Linked DNA regions of Kluyveromyces lactis. The protein of the gene in region 1 interacts with the protein of each later gene in a biochemical or structural test. Links are inferred from orthologs where the notes say so. Each region holds a gene or a part of one and is shown in the gene's direction. Other genes may lie near its edges.

What was found.
Region 2: of the proteins of SWE1 (region 1) and CDC34, one has a biochemical effect on the other in vitro, tested with the Saccharomyces cerevisiae proteins (2 studies listed by BioGRID). The link is inferred for Kluyveromyces lactis from reciprocal best matches to the Saccharomyces cerevisiae genes SWE1 and CDC34.
Region 3: the proteins of SWE1 (region 1) and HSL7 form a complex in vitro, tested with the Saccharomyces cerevisiae proteins (2 studies listed by BioGRID). The link is inferred for Kluyveromyces lactis from reciprocal best matches to the Saccharomyces cerevisiae genes SWE1 and HSL7.

The regions. Positions count from the first base shown.
Region 1 is NC_006038.1:657,837-663,542, forward strand, and holds SWE1 (tyrosine protein kinase SWE1), read left to right. Parts: upstream 1-1,754; coding exon 1,755-3,923; downstream 3,924-5,706. Other genes in the region: CCP1 (cytochrome-c peroxidase), read left to right, coding at 1-993. UniProt on the Saccharomyces cerevisiae protein: Protein kinase that acts as a negative regulator of entry into mitosis (G2 to M transition) by phosphorylating and inhibiting the mitosis-promoting cyclin B-bound CDC28 at 'Tyr-19'.
Region 2 is NC_006040.1:770,265-774,856, forward strand, and holds CDC34 (SCF E2 ubiquitin-protein ligase catalytic subunit CDC34), read left to right. Parts: upstream 1-2,530; coding exon 2,531-3,409; downstream 3,410-4,592. Other genes in the region: MDM36 (Mdm36p), read right to left, coding at 1-820; KLLA0_D09218g (uncharacterized protein), read right to left, coding at 4,524-4,592. UniProt on the Saccharomyces cerevisiae protein: Catalyzes the covalent attachment of ubiquitin to other proteins. Capable, in vitro, to ubiquitinate histone H2A. Mediates the initiation of DNA replication (transition of G1 to S phase in cell cycle).
Region 3 is NC_006039.1:1,373,489-1,379,324, forward strand, and holds HSL7 (protein arginine N-methyltransferase), read left to right. Parts: upstream 1-2,419; coding exon 2,420-4,756; downstream 4,757-5,836. Other genes in the region: protein kinase MEC1, read right to left, coding at 1-1,255; cyclin-dependent protein kinase regulatory subunit CKS1, read right to left, coding at 1,664-2,062; KLLA0_C15851g (uncharacterized protein), read right to left, coding at 4,836-5,836.

The DNA.
Region 1 (5,706 bases):
TTGTCATTTATAGTCGGTGCCGGTGCTCTTGCCGGTTCTGCCACTGGTACAGTGATGGAATATCAAGATATGAGGAATTACAACAATCGTAATTATAACAAACAAAAATTGGCTGCGTTAGCAGCTGCTCATGTCGCAGCAAAGGAGAAATACGACGTTGCCAAGTATCAAAAAGTTTACAACGATATTGCGCTCAAGATAAGGGACGAAGACGAATACGACGACTTTATCGGTTACGGACCTGTGTTAGTACGTTTAGCATGGCACTGTGCTGGTACTTGGGATGCAAAGGATAACACCGGTGGTCCTTACGGTGGTACTTACAGATTCGCGATGGAGACCAACGATCCGTCCAACAATGGGTTGCAAAACGCTGCGAAGTTCTTGGAACCAATCCACGAGAAGTACCCTTGGTTATCTCATGGTGATTTATATAGTTTGGCTGGCGTTACGGCGATTCAAGAGATGCAAGGTCCCACAATTCCTTGGAGATCTGGTCGTGTGGACCAACCTGAGGATACTACTCCAGAAAACGGTAGATTACCTGATGCTTCTAAAGATGCGAAATACGTGAGATGCTTCTTCCACAGACTAAACTTCGAAGATAGACAAGTAGTTGCATTGTTGGGTGCGCATGCTTTGGGTAAGACACATTTGAAGAACTCTGGCTTCGAAGGCCCATGGGGTGCTGCCACCAATATCTTCACCAATGAATTCTACAACAACCTGCTAAACGAAAAATGGGACCTCATCACTAACGATGCCGGTAACAAACAATACGTCAACGATAAGGGCTGGATGATGTTACCAACAGATATGGCCTTGGTACAGGATCCGAAATACTTGCCTATCGTGAAAGAATTTGCAAACGACCAAGACACATTCTTTAAAGAATTCACCAAGGCCTTTGTAGTATTACTTGAAAACGGTATTGATTTCCCTCAAGAAAACAAACCTATAAAATTCAAGACCCTTGATGCCCAAGACTTATAAGTTTCTACTCCAAGAATCAAGCAAAACACACACATAAACACACACAAAACACTGCAGCATCAGGCCGTCATATCATAAAGTGCCTGCTATTTATTATTTATGTTAGTTCTTATATACGTTGTGAACTATCATAACTGTCTATTTATTCAAATCGGATAAGAAAAAACACGACGATATGCAAGTTTCTGAACAGACGCACATTCGATAGAAACAGTGATCCCCACTGAAACATAGAAATTCTGCCCTTCCACTCATATAATAGTCCTGCCAGGCTCATTCTTGCCAAGTGTGTTATGTTAGGGAATGGCCCGTCTTTGCAGTTGCCTAACGATTGCCACGAAAATCATCAACACGCGAAAAAAAACGAAAAACATAGAAACAGAACGACGTGTTGAGAAGATCAAAAATCGATGAAGTAAACACACAGGTGAAAACAAAAAAAAAGAGATCTAGAGGAACCAACCTCAACACTTTAACCATCACAGTTCTACCATCAACTAGATTCGTTCTATTGGATCCTTCCAATAGTTGACAAAAGTCTATTGTTTGTTGTTTTAAGACAGCTTTCCTGGTTGTCTGTTAATTCTGTACCAGGTTCTGTTTTGACAGTTCAGAACAAGGACAACGAGAACCCACCCGCCAAGGGGCCATAATTTGGGTGTTTTTGTTTCAGTAAATAGTTACTCGACGGTGTGACAAAAAGTAATCACTGAAGAATAAAGTACTCATCGAAGGGGATCATCAAAAGCACGACATAAACAATGCCATCGAAACGGAAAAACTCACTGCAGCCAAACTTTGGGCGCGTAACTGTCAACACTGCACTTTCACCTCGGGTAGAAGTTTACCAAGACATAAATGAAGAAGAGACTGACCATGCATACCAAAGTGATGTCGATCTTGATACGGATATGGACCTGGACGTTGAGTTTCATTACTATGACCAGCTTTCGCACTTCAGTAACAATTCCAATAATCTCAAGTTTTACTCGGAACCTCTGAGTTCAAGATCTAATTCTAATGACACTCCGTTGGGTCTTACGAGAAGTGTTGGTGTTCTCAATCTTTCATTGGAGACTGAAACGCCTGATGTGAAAGATCAAAAGTTTAATGAGGAAAATCAGTCCCATATCGACAGCAGAGTACCACAGCTTCAAAGGCCCCTCATCACTACAAGTGCCTCCAATTCAGCATCTAATAGTTTAAAGAGAACTGTGAGCAAGACTGGATTCAATATATCCTCTCCATTTTCCAAGAACAATGCTGCATATTTAAAGAGTTGGCATAGTACGAATGCTGCAACATCTAGTGATTTGTCCTCCACTAAGACTACAGGAAAAAGTAATAATTCGTTTACAGAAGCAAAACCGGATCCTGTAGCTTTTCAGTCATCTGGCCTTATTTCCAAAATGAAACAAACAATTCTACCCAAGAAGTTGACAATACCAGATACGCCTGTGAAGAAGTCTCCGCTGGTTTCGAGACATTCTGACCAAGAACTTTTGGACACACCAATATTAGAGCATTCATCTATCATGTCAGCACAAAATCAGACGACATTTCCTACGATGTATGATTCCCAACTTTTCAAATCTCCCCCGATGATAAATACCGTGTTACCTTCATCAGAAAACTCTCCTACCAGTTCCTCTAATCCAAGATCTAAAAAGAGAACTAAAATTGTAAAGAACACAGAATTGACCTCAATGTTGAGACAAATCACGGACGATTTGTACGGACACGATCAAGAAAGTTCAATCTTTTCACCGTCACCCTCAAAGACAAATCTTCAAACTCCAACGAAAACATCCTTTGATATTGGTCCTGATTCTCTGGCTATCATGACAAAACTGCGAAACGATCCAACACATCTTCAACCACCTGAGAAGCAAAGATCAATCAATGCAAGTATCATGAAAAACCCTGATTTCCATCTAACGACCAAATTCAGTAATGTATCCATAATGGGAAAAGGTCAGTTTTCTACTGTCTACCAAGTGACTTTCCCAGAAACTGGTTTAAAATACGCCATCAAAAGTGTACGACCAACTAAACATAATTTTACCAATCGAATTCTACAAGAAATCAATATGTTGTCAACAATTCAGGATTCAGTTACAAATGACACAGAAGGTAAGGAATATATCGTAGAATTTATTTCTTCGTGGTCACATAAAGGTTCATTTTATATAATGACAGAATTCTGCGAAAATGGAAATTTAGATGCTTTTATACAAGAGCACGTCATTGCTAAACAACAACGATTGGAAGATTGGAGGATATGGAAGATTATCGTTGAAATCTGTCTAGCTTTGAGATTCATCCATGATTCCTGTTCAATTGTTCATTTAGATTTGAAGCCAGCTAATGTTCTCATAACTTTCGAAGGTAATTTGAAACTTGCTGATTTTGGGATGGCTACAAAGTTGCCAATAGAAGATAAAAGTTTTGAAAACGAGGGTGACCGTGAATATATTGCCCCGGAAATTATACGTGACGGAATATACGATTTCCGTGCTGACATCTTCTCCCTTGGGCTAATGATGATTGAAATCGCTGCTAACGTTATTTTGCCTGATAACGGAAGTGCATGGCATAAATTGAGGTCTGGTGATCTATCTGATGCTGGCAGATTAAGTAGTGCGGAGATCCATTCGAGCTCACTCTTTTCCAATAAAAAAGATCATACGAATATCACTGACATCACAACGCATGAGACAAAAATTCCAGCGTGGGTACCGAAGTTTTTATTAGACGGAATATCGCTGGAAAGGACTATCAGATGGATGATCGAACCGGATTACAGAGATCGTCCATCTGCATCTGATTTACTCCGCACCGAGGAATTAGAATATGTAGAACTAACAAGAAAGACAGGTGCAGTTATTCATGAGGATGACTACGGCCCAAAACCAGAATTCTTCTCCTAATTCACTTCAAGAAAATATAGAACATGTTATGATATTCAGCTTTACATAAACCAGCTTTACATAAACCAGTTTACGTCTGTTCTTTCTCTATAATGCCCTAATACTGACATAATAACAGCTCCGTTCATTTTCCTTTTACTTTTACTGGTTTTTTAATTTTTTGACATAAAAAATATACATGAGGAACATGTATATTAAACAGATATTCAGAGACTTTATGAGAAATTACAACGAGAGAGATGCAGTGGTGTGCAACGTTTGAACAAAAACGAACACCAGGTGGGGATAACGACGTGAGGTCACGTTAGAGGATGCACGTACTTGTGCATACTTATAGGTTAACACCCACAATTCTTATATAATGAACTCGCGTTTTGGATCAATAATATGATGAGTTATCAAACACTCTTTAAGCTAGATAGTATCTGAAATTATAATGATTTTAGTGTATTTGAACATTTTTAATACCTCTGATATTTTTCCAAAACTTGAATTATCTATGTAGCCTCATCCATTTATCTTTGCATACCGTACCTTGTTGATATTCCAACGCGAAGCAATTCGGTAATACTTGGCAGAGTATGAATTTTTAGATTAAAAAAGAGGTTAACATAAAGATAATATCTTTGAGTAATACATAGTTTTAATTAAAAACCGTAAAACGATGTTGAATTTATTAAACTGACCCTATCTATACATAAGTAGAGTATACTTTGCAAACTGTAGAGAAAATTGACATAATAAGAAAAATTGTTGTGCGTTCTTCCGATATGTACAAAAAGTTTACAAACCCAACTTTGTTCTTCTCCAGTGTCTTCTCTTAGCGTTGTAACGGATCTTGTTGTTGGTCTTCAATCTGTACCATTGTGGCAATGGTCTGTTTTGGTTCTTGGCCTTAGCCAACTTCTGCTTGATGATGAAAGACTTCTTAGCCTGTTTAAAAGAATATCACACGAAATGATAGAAAATTGTTAGTAAAATTGTGATTTTTGAAACGTACGGGGTGGCTGGTACCTTGATATCCATCACGCCATTACTGAACTACAGCTCATCTGGAGACAGAATGTGAGGCGTGTTTCTTGTTTTTCAGAGTCGCTAAAAAGGGCCGATCATCTCATTGATTTCCTGAGTTTATCCTCATCTAAAGATTGATATAATTTCTTCGTTGTCCCTTCAATAGAATGTCCACTCGGTAGGTTAAGCTTAATACAATCAGGTAAATTCCATCATTTAACCGACCGATTAGAGAAAATTATTCCATTTTACATCTATTATTAGTCCTTAAATTCCAAAAACTTATGCCCTCATCCATATCATCAAAGTTTGTTTCGTTTCATTTCATTCCTTAGACAGTTCATCTGCTCGGTTTATCGTTATTTTCCTTTCAATAATTACGGTATATCTTTATTCATTCTCTGATTATCAAACAATAGTCCAAGTTGCCCCATTATTAACCATTTCAGCACTATTTCGCTTGTTAACATACAGCCATTGTTGATTCTTATCCTTGGTTCTTTAAGACAACAAAAAGTATATGTCTGAACTAACAAATAACCCAAGTAGTATTATATAACGAATATTTCTAATATCTAAAGGCTGATACTATTCAAGGTGGTTCCTAGAAGTTGACAAAATCCACTACAATTGACGGTGAGAGACTAAGGAGAATCCAGCGACATAAGCAAGAGAGCAGATTCCAGACCAATGCTAGACTGAATGTGGTCCAGAAGCTAGGCAGAAGCTGAAGGGAGAACCAAGTGATGGAGCCCGAGAAGCCAGGTCC
Region 2 (4,592 bases), on another chromosome or scaffold:
TTGAATTTTCTTCTAATAACCAAGTGAAATTGAACGCTTGGTACATGCCTTCCACGTCCATGAAGATCGCCAGACATTCTTCAAACTCTGATTGATCATCAACTGTCTCAGCGTCCCGTAGCTGTTGTAAAAGTACTTTGATGAAAGATTTATATGAAGATATCGTCTCTTTTAGGGATTCCAAATTTGCCTTGGTCATTTTATCCATATTGGTATTGTTGATTAATTCCAATTCGTAATCTATGAGAAGGAGCTTGGATCTCATGAAAAATGCTGCAACTTTTCTCTTCAATTTCCTTAGCTGGTGACCACATAGAAACCAAATCTCCAATAACAGAGTCATTGCATCCGACAGGAGTACAGTAACATCGTTTGTTTCAGTCGCCTGTTTTATGAAAACCATAACCGACCTTGAATCAAGCGACAATTGTTCCAATGCTACGGATAATTTATCACATTTTGATATTGTCTTCAAGGCTATATCTCTATCGAAATCTTCTCCCTGTGATTTATTCCCGGAACTAGCCAATTCACTCGTACCGATAATATCTTGCAATCCAAACCTTAGCATCACGGTTTGTTCCAACGTCTTTAAATCCCATGACTTAGCCAACAGGAAGCTCAACTTGACAAGATCTGTATAAATAGATAGTGATTCTTTACACTTTTCCACGGTTCTTTCATGCAGTTCATCGTTTATAATTTGAGTACGGTCCGATGTGTTTTGAACGCGCGCATCCTCGATCAACTCCGTAATAACTTTCGCATCAATGGTATCCTTATTTTTGAACTGCGAGAGTATCGGATCCTTATAACTCATGATATCGCAATGGATGGGTTCAAAATTTGTTATTAGTTGCTTTAAGATGGATATTTCAAATTGCTATATCCAGCTAGAGAAAACTTGAACCCCACAAACAATAAAACGTTCTCAATGACACAGTTTCGCACAGTAAGCTGATACCAGGTATTTTCACAATTTGAAGAACCTGATTTGATAAGTTGGCCAACGCAGAGAAAGAAAAATAACGGCAGATTTCTTATACCAAGCCCTGTATTTATCTTCATCACTATAGGCATTTGTCCTATATTTTATACTGGATCTGAAATAGTAAATAGACAGAAAAACAAGAAATAATCTTCTGATTTAAAGGAAAATAAGTCAAAGAAAGTACTTTGGACGAAAACAAATTTCGGCACACAAAGAAAAGCGCGCAGACGAGAAAACATATAGCATCGAGTTGCAACTCCAACACGCCGTCGCGAGATACAAATCTTATAACGTTCCGAATGTGAGGACGGCAGGATCTCAGCAAAACATCCACCTTGAGGTGAATATGTAAGGGAATTAGGCCTGTTGAGCTATGGTGAAGTGCTGTATAGTTCAAAATGGTACGATTCAGACTTGATGAGCGTTATTGCCCTATGGCTCAGTTCGGAAAACCTTACGAGAATGAGAAAAGAAGGAGATGGTGATTGGTGTTCACGTGACCTAAGGTCACGTGAACTTTTCCACTGTTCCTATCGGTGAAAGCGGCGAGTCTAACGTTTGCTGACGCCGAGCAGAATATACTACTGCCCGATGAAGAACTAGTCTAGAGTATAAATAAGAATCTTGAACGTAACAACTGACTACCAGAGTTCTCCGATTCACATTTAATCCTAGTGTTCAGCTTATCAGTTAAAATGCACGCTCTCACAACGATGCGGTAGAAGTGATATTTTGCCGGATGCATTAGATACATTCGAAAAAATTGATGTAATTGGCCCCCGCATTCCCCATCAATTGGAAAATAAACATTCATGCGTAAATGTTGATGCCTTAAATACTGTTACTTTCATCCATGGATTATTAACGCATACCTGGTTGTGCAAATCAACATGAATAATGCCTGGGGACGAAAAGCTTACAAGACGGTAAAAAATATAGAGACATATAGCTATAGTATAAATATCGATTAAACCCCCAACCTGAACAATAGAACGGTATCTTCCAAGAGTACACAACCCAACGGTTTTTGCTTATTTTGTCTTGGGACGGTTTTTCTTGACTTTTCGGCATTCAGCTTGGTTCTTTTTTGTAAACCAGTTTCAGAAGAAATTTAAAAGGTCAAAACACAGACAACTATTAATTTTAATTACAAATTATTGTATTTGCATTTAAATGAGAGTATCAATAAACAGGTGATAAGGAGAGGTTGCATAGACTTTTGGGCGGGTATACTTGTACAAACGCAAAAACTCACACTACTCAGTTGGTATATTGTATTGTCCTATCTTTTGTTTGGCTTTACGTTTCATTACTTTTTTCTTTCTCTTCCTAACGTTTTTGTTAAGTTCTAGCAACATATTATTGTCAAATTTACTCGGAGATATCTTATCACTGAGGAACACCAAGCAACAGTTACTTCTAATCGTCAGCCCTAATAACTGAACTTTCTTGGTCTGGATATATCAGTTTTGGAAAAAGGGGGAAGTTTCAATCAGCACACAGAACATCTTTTTACCATAGAAATACTCTTTCTAAAGTATGAGCGGCAAGAATACTGCAGCTTCTTTGTTATTACGACAATACAGGGAACTCACTGATCCGAAGAAGGCTATTCCTAGTTTCCATATTGCATTAGAAGATGATTCAAACATATTCTTGTGGAACATCGGTGTAATGGTCTTAAATGAGGAATCCATCTACCACGGAGGTTATTTCAAGGCTCAAATGAAATTCCCGGACGATTTCCCATTTTCTCCTCCAACTTTTAGATTTACTCCAGCAATTTACCACCCGAACGTTTACCGTGATGGTAGGTTGTGTATTTCTATCTTACACCAATCGGGGAACCCCACCTCGGATGAGCCCGATGAAGAAACTTGGTCTCCAGTACAGACTGTGGAATCAGTGTTGATTTCTATTGTCTCCTTGTTAGAAGATCCAAATATTTCCTCTCCAGCTAACGTCGACGCTGCTGTTGACTACAAGAAGAATCCGGATCAGTACAAACAAAAGGTAAAACTCGAAGTGGAAAGATCAAAACAGGATATCCCGCAAGGGTTCGTGATGCCAGAATCAACAAAGGCGTATGTTTCCCAAAGAAAGGCAAATGAAGGTATTGACACCATCAAAGAAACCGTTGCCGATAATTTCTGGTACGACAGTGACGAAGGTGATGAAGATGTGGATATCTATGCATACGAGGATTCAGAAGATGAAGAGGATAATGACGATGTTTTCAGCAAAGATTCTTCAAACTTGAATTTCAGCAAAAAAGCTAACAAAAACGATATCGACTCAGATGAAGATGAAGATCTGGTGCCTGAAGAAGCAGAAGATTCTCTAGATGAAAGCGTAATGGATAGAAGAAGTAAATTAATGGAAGAAAGCGAGGAGTTAGAAGATGCAGAAATGAAATGATATGAATCCCTTACAACTTTTTTATTCCCTCAGAAGCAGTGCTTCTCAGCGTATCACATTCATTCACATTTCTTTCCTCACTACTGTCTTGTCTTTCTACTTCAATATACAATTATAAACACACGTTGAAGTTTGGTTACTACTGTAGTGATATACTATTTTGACCTCCAGTATAAATTCATGAACCTGTAACAACTTCAACGTCTTTATTGATTTTGTTTGGAGCATTCGCACCTCTAAATGATGATTGTCATAACCAAACATAAAACTGGAAACTGTCCTTTTTCAATTCACCATAACGCTGAATCTACATTTCAGCCCCTCAGATATTATATTGGAAAGTGAACAACTAACGATGCATCAAGTAACTAATAACTTAATAACACTTTTCGATGACAGTAACCCTAGCCGGTGCTGTGTGCAATATCTATGGAATGTTTTTTCTGGTTTTGGACCTCCATCAGGATATGAGATATAAGGGGGTTGTAAGAAAGACAAAGGAGGAAATGCCTGAAAGATTTTCAAATGGTATGAATTCGAACTTTAGAAAGTTCCTTGGAAATGAGTTCTAATTATGTGAATTGTCTTGACAACTATGCATCCTTCATTTCTTTTCTTTCCCGTTTAATCATGCATCAATCTCGTAAACTTGTTCGGACTGATGATAAATCACTAAACAACACATTTCAATCTAACATCTTTACAAGATCACTATAATAATTTCGAATTTTCTTCAACATAGAAAATATACATAAAGCTCTTTCAAACTTCTTTCATTAGCTACAACCGTCAATTATATCATTAAGAACTTACCTCTGGTGACTTTCCTATTGATTCAGTTATCATATATATATATATATTTATTGATAGGCCCACGATCAAAACAAAATATATACATCATGGTATACCGTCATGTTTATCCCTGACAGAAAATATACCGCTTTTGTAATGTTATTCTTACCCCTTGGTATTAGTCCACAGCTCAGGGTTCACGTTGAATTTTATATTTCACACGTATTTTGCAATATCTTGCTTGTTCCCCTTTAAAAACTGCCTGAGTAAGAACTTGTAAAGTCACAGCACCTTATCCAAAATTTGTAAAAAAGGGCTTCTATCAACGACGAATGTTCTTATCTGGCATACTCCCCCTAATCCCTTTTATTTCGGATTCCAATTCTCTGAA
Region 3 (5,836 bases), on another chromosome or scaffold:
GAACCAAGTTTAAAGATGATAGCCTCATATTTTGAGAGGCATTGAATTCCACCTGTGGAGATCTTACAAGATTGTTATTGACAAACTTTTCTTTTATAGCCAATTGTCTGATGGAATGCATCGAATGTGTCAATTTTGCGGTGTCACCATCCTTTATCGTGTTTAGTAATGATTCTTTCACCTTATCGTAGAAAGATCTTATATCAGCACTATCAGCTATACAATTTCGAACATTCCCAGAGACTAGACGTAGCTTCGGATTTTCTATGGCTTGATGAAGCCAATGCAATTGCTTATTAGAGAATGTAAACTCTTCCATCGATTCCAGGAACCCTAGTTTCACTGAAACGTATTTTATCGATCTAATAAACAGGGGATCAGCATTCTTATTCGTGTTGATCCATTCATGTAATTCGAATGTATTCTTGATCTCTGCCAACTTTGATTCGTCATGGATACAAAGGTACAAAGTCCGTAACAAAGTCTTGGCTAAAATGGTCGGAGAGATATGCTGATGATGATCTTTAATTAAAGTTTGTATGAGGTCAAACGAGAATCTGAATATTGACAATGACTCTTTAGATAAAGAGATGTAACGAACAAGTAATTGCAAGATGCTCGCAACTTCGACACTTGGTTCGTTAGTTGATTTCAAAACAAAGGCTAGCAATCGCATCAATTTCTGAAACTGACTTTGCCATCTTCTATAGCTGTAATTTCGAAGTAGTCCATCCCTCATAATCCAACCGTTCACTATCACTATTTTTTTCAAGAGGGAATGAAACGTCGGCTTCTCTAGCTTACCTCTCAGACATGTTACTAGTAACTTTTCATACTGAACCATTTGTTCAGTGAACCAAATCTGTAAATTGGAGGTCGATGCAAAAGAGTACGCTTTTAACCATGCACTCACGTATTTGTTTATAAGCCAAATATATTGCATATTGGACCAATGCATTAGCGAACAACTAACCATATTGTTTAAAATAACCTCGATCATAGTAATCTCTTTAACATTGGCTGAGAAAAGGTGTTGGTTGCATCGCAGAAATAAATCAAGTGCTTGAAAGGATTTGTGAAAGATCACCTCATCCGTATTCGTAGATTGCGTATTCTTCAACAATGTCTGTAGTAATTTCCCATTCTTTTCATCTAATTGCAAAGTGCTATCTAACTCTATACCATTTCCTACAGTTCCTGCTGATTTTAACGCCAGTATCAGTTCTTCCAGATATTTTACCCTAGGATTATCCATTTCCTATACGCTGAGAAGATATTACTCTTACACGGCAACTGCACTCTCAATCACACTCACCTAGGACGCCCTAACGAGAGAAAACTGTGTTTCTTTCATAGTCCAGCGTTTGTTTTTGGTTAGTTTCATTATTTATAATTTGACTTATATACAAATTTTGGTATCAATAAGGAATCTCAACACATACATAAATGTGGTATGTACATATGCTAAACACTTCTCCAGAAGTACAATTCAGGCGTCTTAAGCCATTTGCAAGTTTGACAACAGAAGACTAACTTACACAAAGTGTGCAGCCAGGAATTGCAGATCTTTGGGGAAACATTATTCTCTCTTATTAACAGTGTAACGCGTAAAACTGGAATACGATTTTCTTATTATTTCATTTTAAAGTCTTTAGTGGGTAGTTCATATATTTTGACTTTGTTGGCCTGCAGCAATTGATTTTTGCTGCTGCTGTGCGGCAGCATGCGCCGCACGTATTTCAGCCTCGTAATTCAGTGGTCTCTTAAATAGTAAAATATGTGGTTCAGGCGCATGGCATTCGTAATGTTCCCATCCCAGAGATTGTGTAATTCCTAACCCTCTCCATTCGTCTTCTGTTAAGATTCGCAAAGTACCAGTGTCTCCGTTGAAATAATCAGAAGGTATCACTTTTAGCATGGCCTTGGGAAGCATTACATGTCTGTATTCGTGTGTATCGTCGGAGTATCTTGGTGAATAATGAATGCTATCTTGAAATTCGAGAACTCTCGTTCTTTCCTGATCAGAAAGCTTTCTGCCTTGGAAAGCGTGCGTCGAATACATTGTTAGATTCGATCACAACTTAAGCTATACAATTGGAGTGTTAATTAACCCTAGACTACTGATGCTGGATCTTATTCGCTCATCACATATCATGTCTTTAGCATAACTGAAAAGATCTTAGGTATTAAAATAGTATTGTTTACAAAAAAAAAATGAAAATAAATATTGTTTAGGACAGAAACCAGATCCGTCACTATTGATGGTCAGAGATGAGGTAAAAGAATAGGACACAGAGCTATCACTGGTGTAGTGTCTACCATAATTACGGTATAGCTGAAGAAGGGTTTACCAATAAACGTTTGACTGTTGTTGTGAAACTGTTCTGCGTGCTGCGTTTGTGTGTTTGTATGTGCTGAAATGGCAAGTCGAAGTAATGTTTTCGTCGGGATCAAACCTCACAGTGAACATTCCGCTGATGTTCTTGGAACTTCTTCTACAGATAAAAGAGTAGAGAATTATGACTATGTGCTGCTGCCCTTGACAAATACCAGATACAAGGATGCCATGAAGGCCAAGTTTGAAGATTTTCGAGATCACGGTCATGGATGGAATGAAGAACTAAAGTTAGATCCTCCTCAATTGCAAGAGCTGGGGGTATTGCCATCTAATGGAAATGTTTCATATATTGGATTGGTCTCTTACTTTTTAGAGCTCGAGAGCCATGATGCTGATGTCCGGACTTTATCTTTGCAAGTGTTGGAGCACGAATTGCATTATGCAAATTTCGTTGGAATCAGACAGGTTATCTTAGCTCCTCCTAAAAAGTTACACACGCTTCATTACTACGCACAATCTTTGTGTACAGTATTTGATACTTTTAAAGAAGCGTGTCCGACAATATCTATTTCGTTACCTTTGTTTGAAGATTCAGATCCACTTTCGACTTGGGAACTGTGGAACACGATCAGGAAAATGTGCGGATACGAGCCTAAATTGACTGTATCTCTAGCTCTACCTAGACAGAAGACTCCCAGTTTTGTGCTAAACAGATGGCTGAGCGAACCTGTCACATGTCTTTTGATCTCTGCATCCATATTCACAACAAATCAATACAATTACCCTGTATTGAATAAATTTAATCAGCATTTAATCACTGAGTTCCAACGTGTTAACGGTAACGCATCAACATTTGGCGAACTAGCTATCGTTTTACATGGTATGGAGAAATACACGGATAAACTCAAAATTGAACCTACACAGTACCTAGAATACCTCAATTATTTATTGAAAAAGGGAGATAAGCTCATACTAATGGAGACCCAAGATGTTGTCCACAGTGCACCTACAATCATGCCTCCGCTACTACCCCATCATGATAATCTTTCGAATGCAGTTTACCAAGTTTTCGAAAAGGATACTGTCAAGTACGAATTATACGAGAGGGCTATCATGGTCGCTGTATCTGAAATTTTGACAGAAAATTCGTCCAGTTGGAGAGGCCCTACAGAACTTATCACATTAGTTGCAGGTGCAGGCAGGGGTCCATTGGTGGATAAGACATTCCAAGTGTTACATAAACTTGGAGTAACCAACTTCAGGCTATTGGCTATCGAAAAAAACCCACAAGCACTTCTCTATTTACAGAAACGCAACTTTGAACACTGGGACAACAAAGTTGAAGTTATCCGTACTGACATCCGAGAATGGGATGAAAATATTAAAGTCGATCTCTGCATCAGTGAACTTTTGGGGTCTTTCGGCTGTAACGAGTTATCTCCCGAATGTATTGCTCCAATAGAAGCTTTCCATTCAAAACCTAACACAAGGTTTATTCCTCAAGGATATAGTTCCTATGCGTCTCCTATATCATCTCCAATTTTATACCAAAGCCTCATTGAAAAAGGACCAGAATATCTCGAAAAACCTTCAATAATTCACAATGTTCCATATTGCCGTACATCATCCAGAGTAAATGAAATATGGTCATTCTCACATTTGCATCAACAACAGCATCAATTTAACAAAAGTTCAATATCCCACTTTCGAGTAAAGCATAAAAGTGAAATTCATGGTATTGCTGGATACTTTATTGCAACATTATACGGAGATATAACCTTGAGCATAGTTCCAAATGACTCTGTCATTAAAACTTTAGAAGATCAGGAAAATTCTAACATAGATAACTCCAGAAGCCATAACGGATCAACTGCCACTAAAGTGAATCATACGGAAAATATGAAATCATGGTCACCAATGTTTTTCCCCTTGAAGGAACCCTTGTTCTTAAATGATGACACTGAACTTGAAGTATTCATTACTAGAAATGACTTAAATAGCAGAGTTTGGTACGAATGGTCTGTATCATCATTTGTATACCTTGTGTCAAGTTCGGAAATACCAAAATCCGAAGGAGAAAGAGTACCCAGAACTGGATCGAAAGAAAATGCTGATATAGATACTCAGAACCTGACTAAAGCCTTCGCACGATTCGGTCCTCAGAATGACTCCTCAGAAATAGAAGACAAGTATTTTGAAGACTCAATCAATCATACCAATTTCATGTCAGGTAGAACAAATGAATGGGATAGTGTAAAAGACCTGCATGAGATACAAAATAGACATGATTCATCTAATCTAACTAAAGATCAAGAACAACGGAAAAAATCACTAACAGAAGAATATCATGTCAGAGTTAGGACTAATATTTCCAAATTGCATAATCCCAATGGATGCATATATTCGATTCCTCTATAAACAAGGCATTTATAAAAATCGAAGCAAACTTTAACCATTTAGTTTAAATCCGCATATCAATAAATTATTTACTTAATGTTCACCAAGGATTTTCTGTAAGTTTCATTTCATTAGAGGTCCAAACTGCATGTGCAGCGGGTTTTGGTTCGTCCATGTCTTCAAAGGCATTAGATGACACCTCAAACTGATTATCAATTTTGATCTGGTCATGAATTTCGTCTATTTCATCTTGTATCGCAATTGGTAAAATCGGCAAAAATCTATAACTGGACTCGCATTCATCATATAAAAAGTATAGCTCTTGAAGGGTAGGTAGAGTTAGCTTAACAGAAAATTCGATGTCAAGTAAAACGGGTTGTTGATCTTTGATAGCTTTCACCTTTTGCTTCAAAAGTTTCTTCATGCTGGTTTTTCCTTCATTGAGTTCATATCTGTAACGATCCAACGATTTATACAACTGTGTAACGTTTAATCGGCTTAACCTATCAATAGTACCATTCAGAACATCTTCATTCGGATCCAAGGAAGTGGCAACTTGTAACCATTGTAATAGTTGATAAACTGGTTCCAAATGAAATTGCCAGATATGTGCAAAAGATTGGTAAAAGAATAATGAGTTTGATTCGTCCGTACAAGGTTCCTTTTTGATCGGTTTATAGAAATAAACGTTTTCAAGAGGTTGAGAAGGCTTCTTCAGATCAATGGATCCAACATCTTGAACTATAGTCAGTGGGAACCTTTGCCACATGAAGTCATCCATTAGATCGGGCTTCTGGACAGAAAAGTTATGGTTTTTCACCCAATCTTGTAAGATCGAGAGATTCAATCTTATTTGCATCGCGTGTGCTCTTGAAGAGAGTTGCTTAGATTGTATAATCTCGTTGAAAATTGTATTAGCCAACCACTTAGATGATATAGACAAGCACTGTTGCAAAAGAACTGGATGAATGTCATGCAAGTCGAAAACATATGTCAAGGCACCAAAAATCTGAACGATTTTAAGAGGAGAAGGTTTCATTTGTTCCTTTACTGAGGGAGGATACAAAAGCTGAAGAATGTCGTCATATGAATCATGTTTCA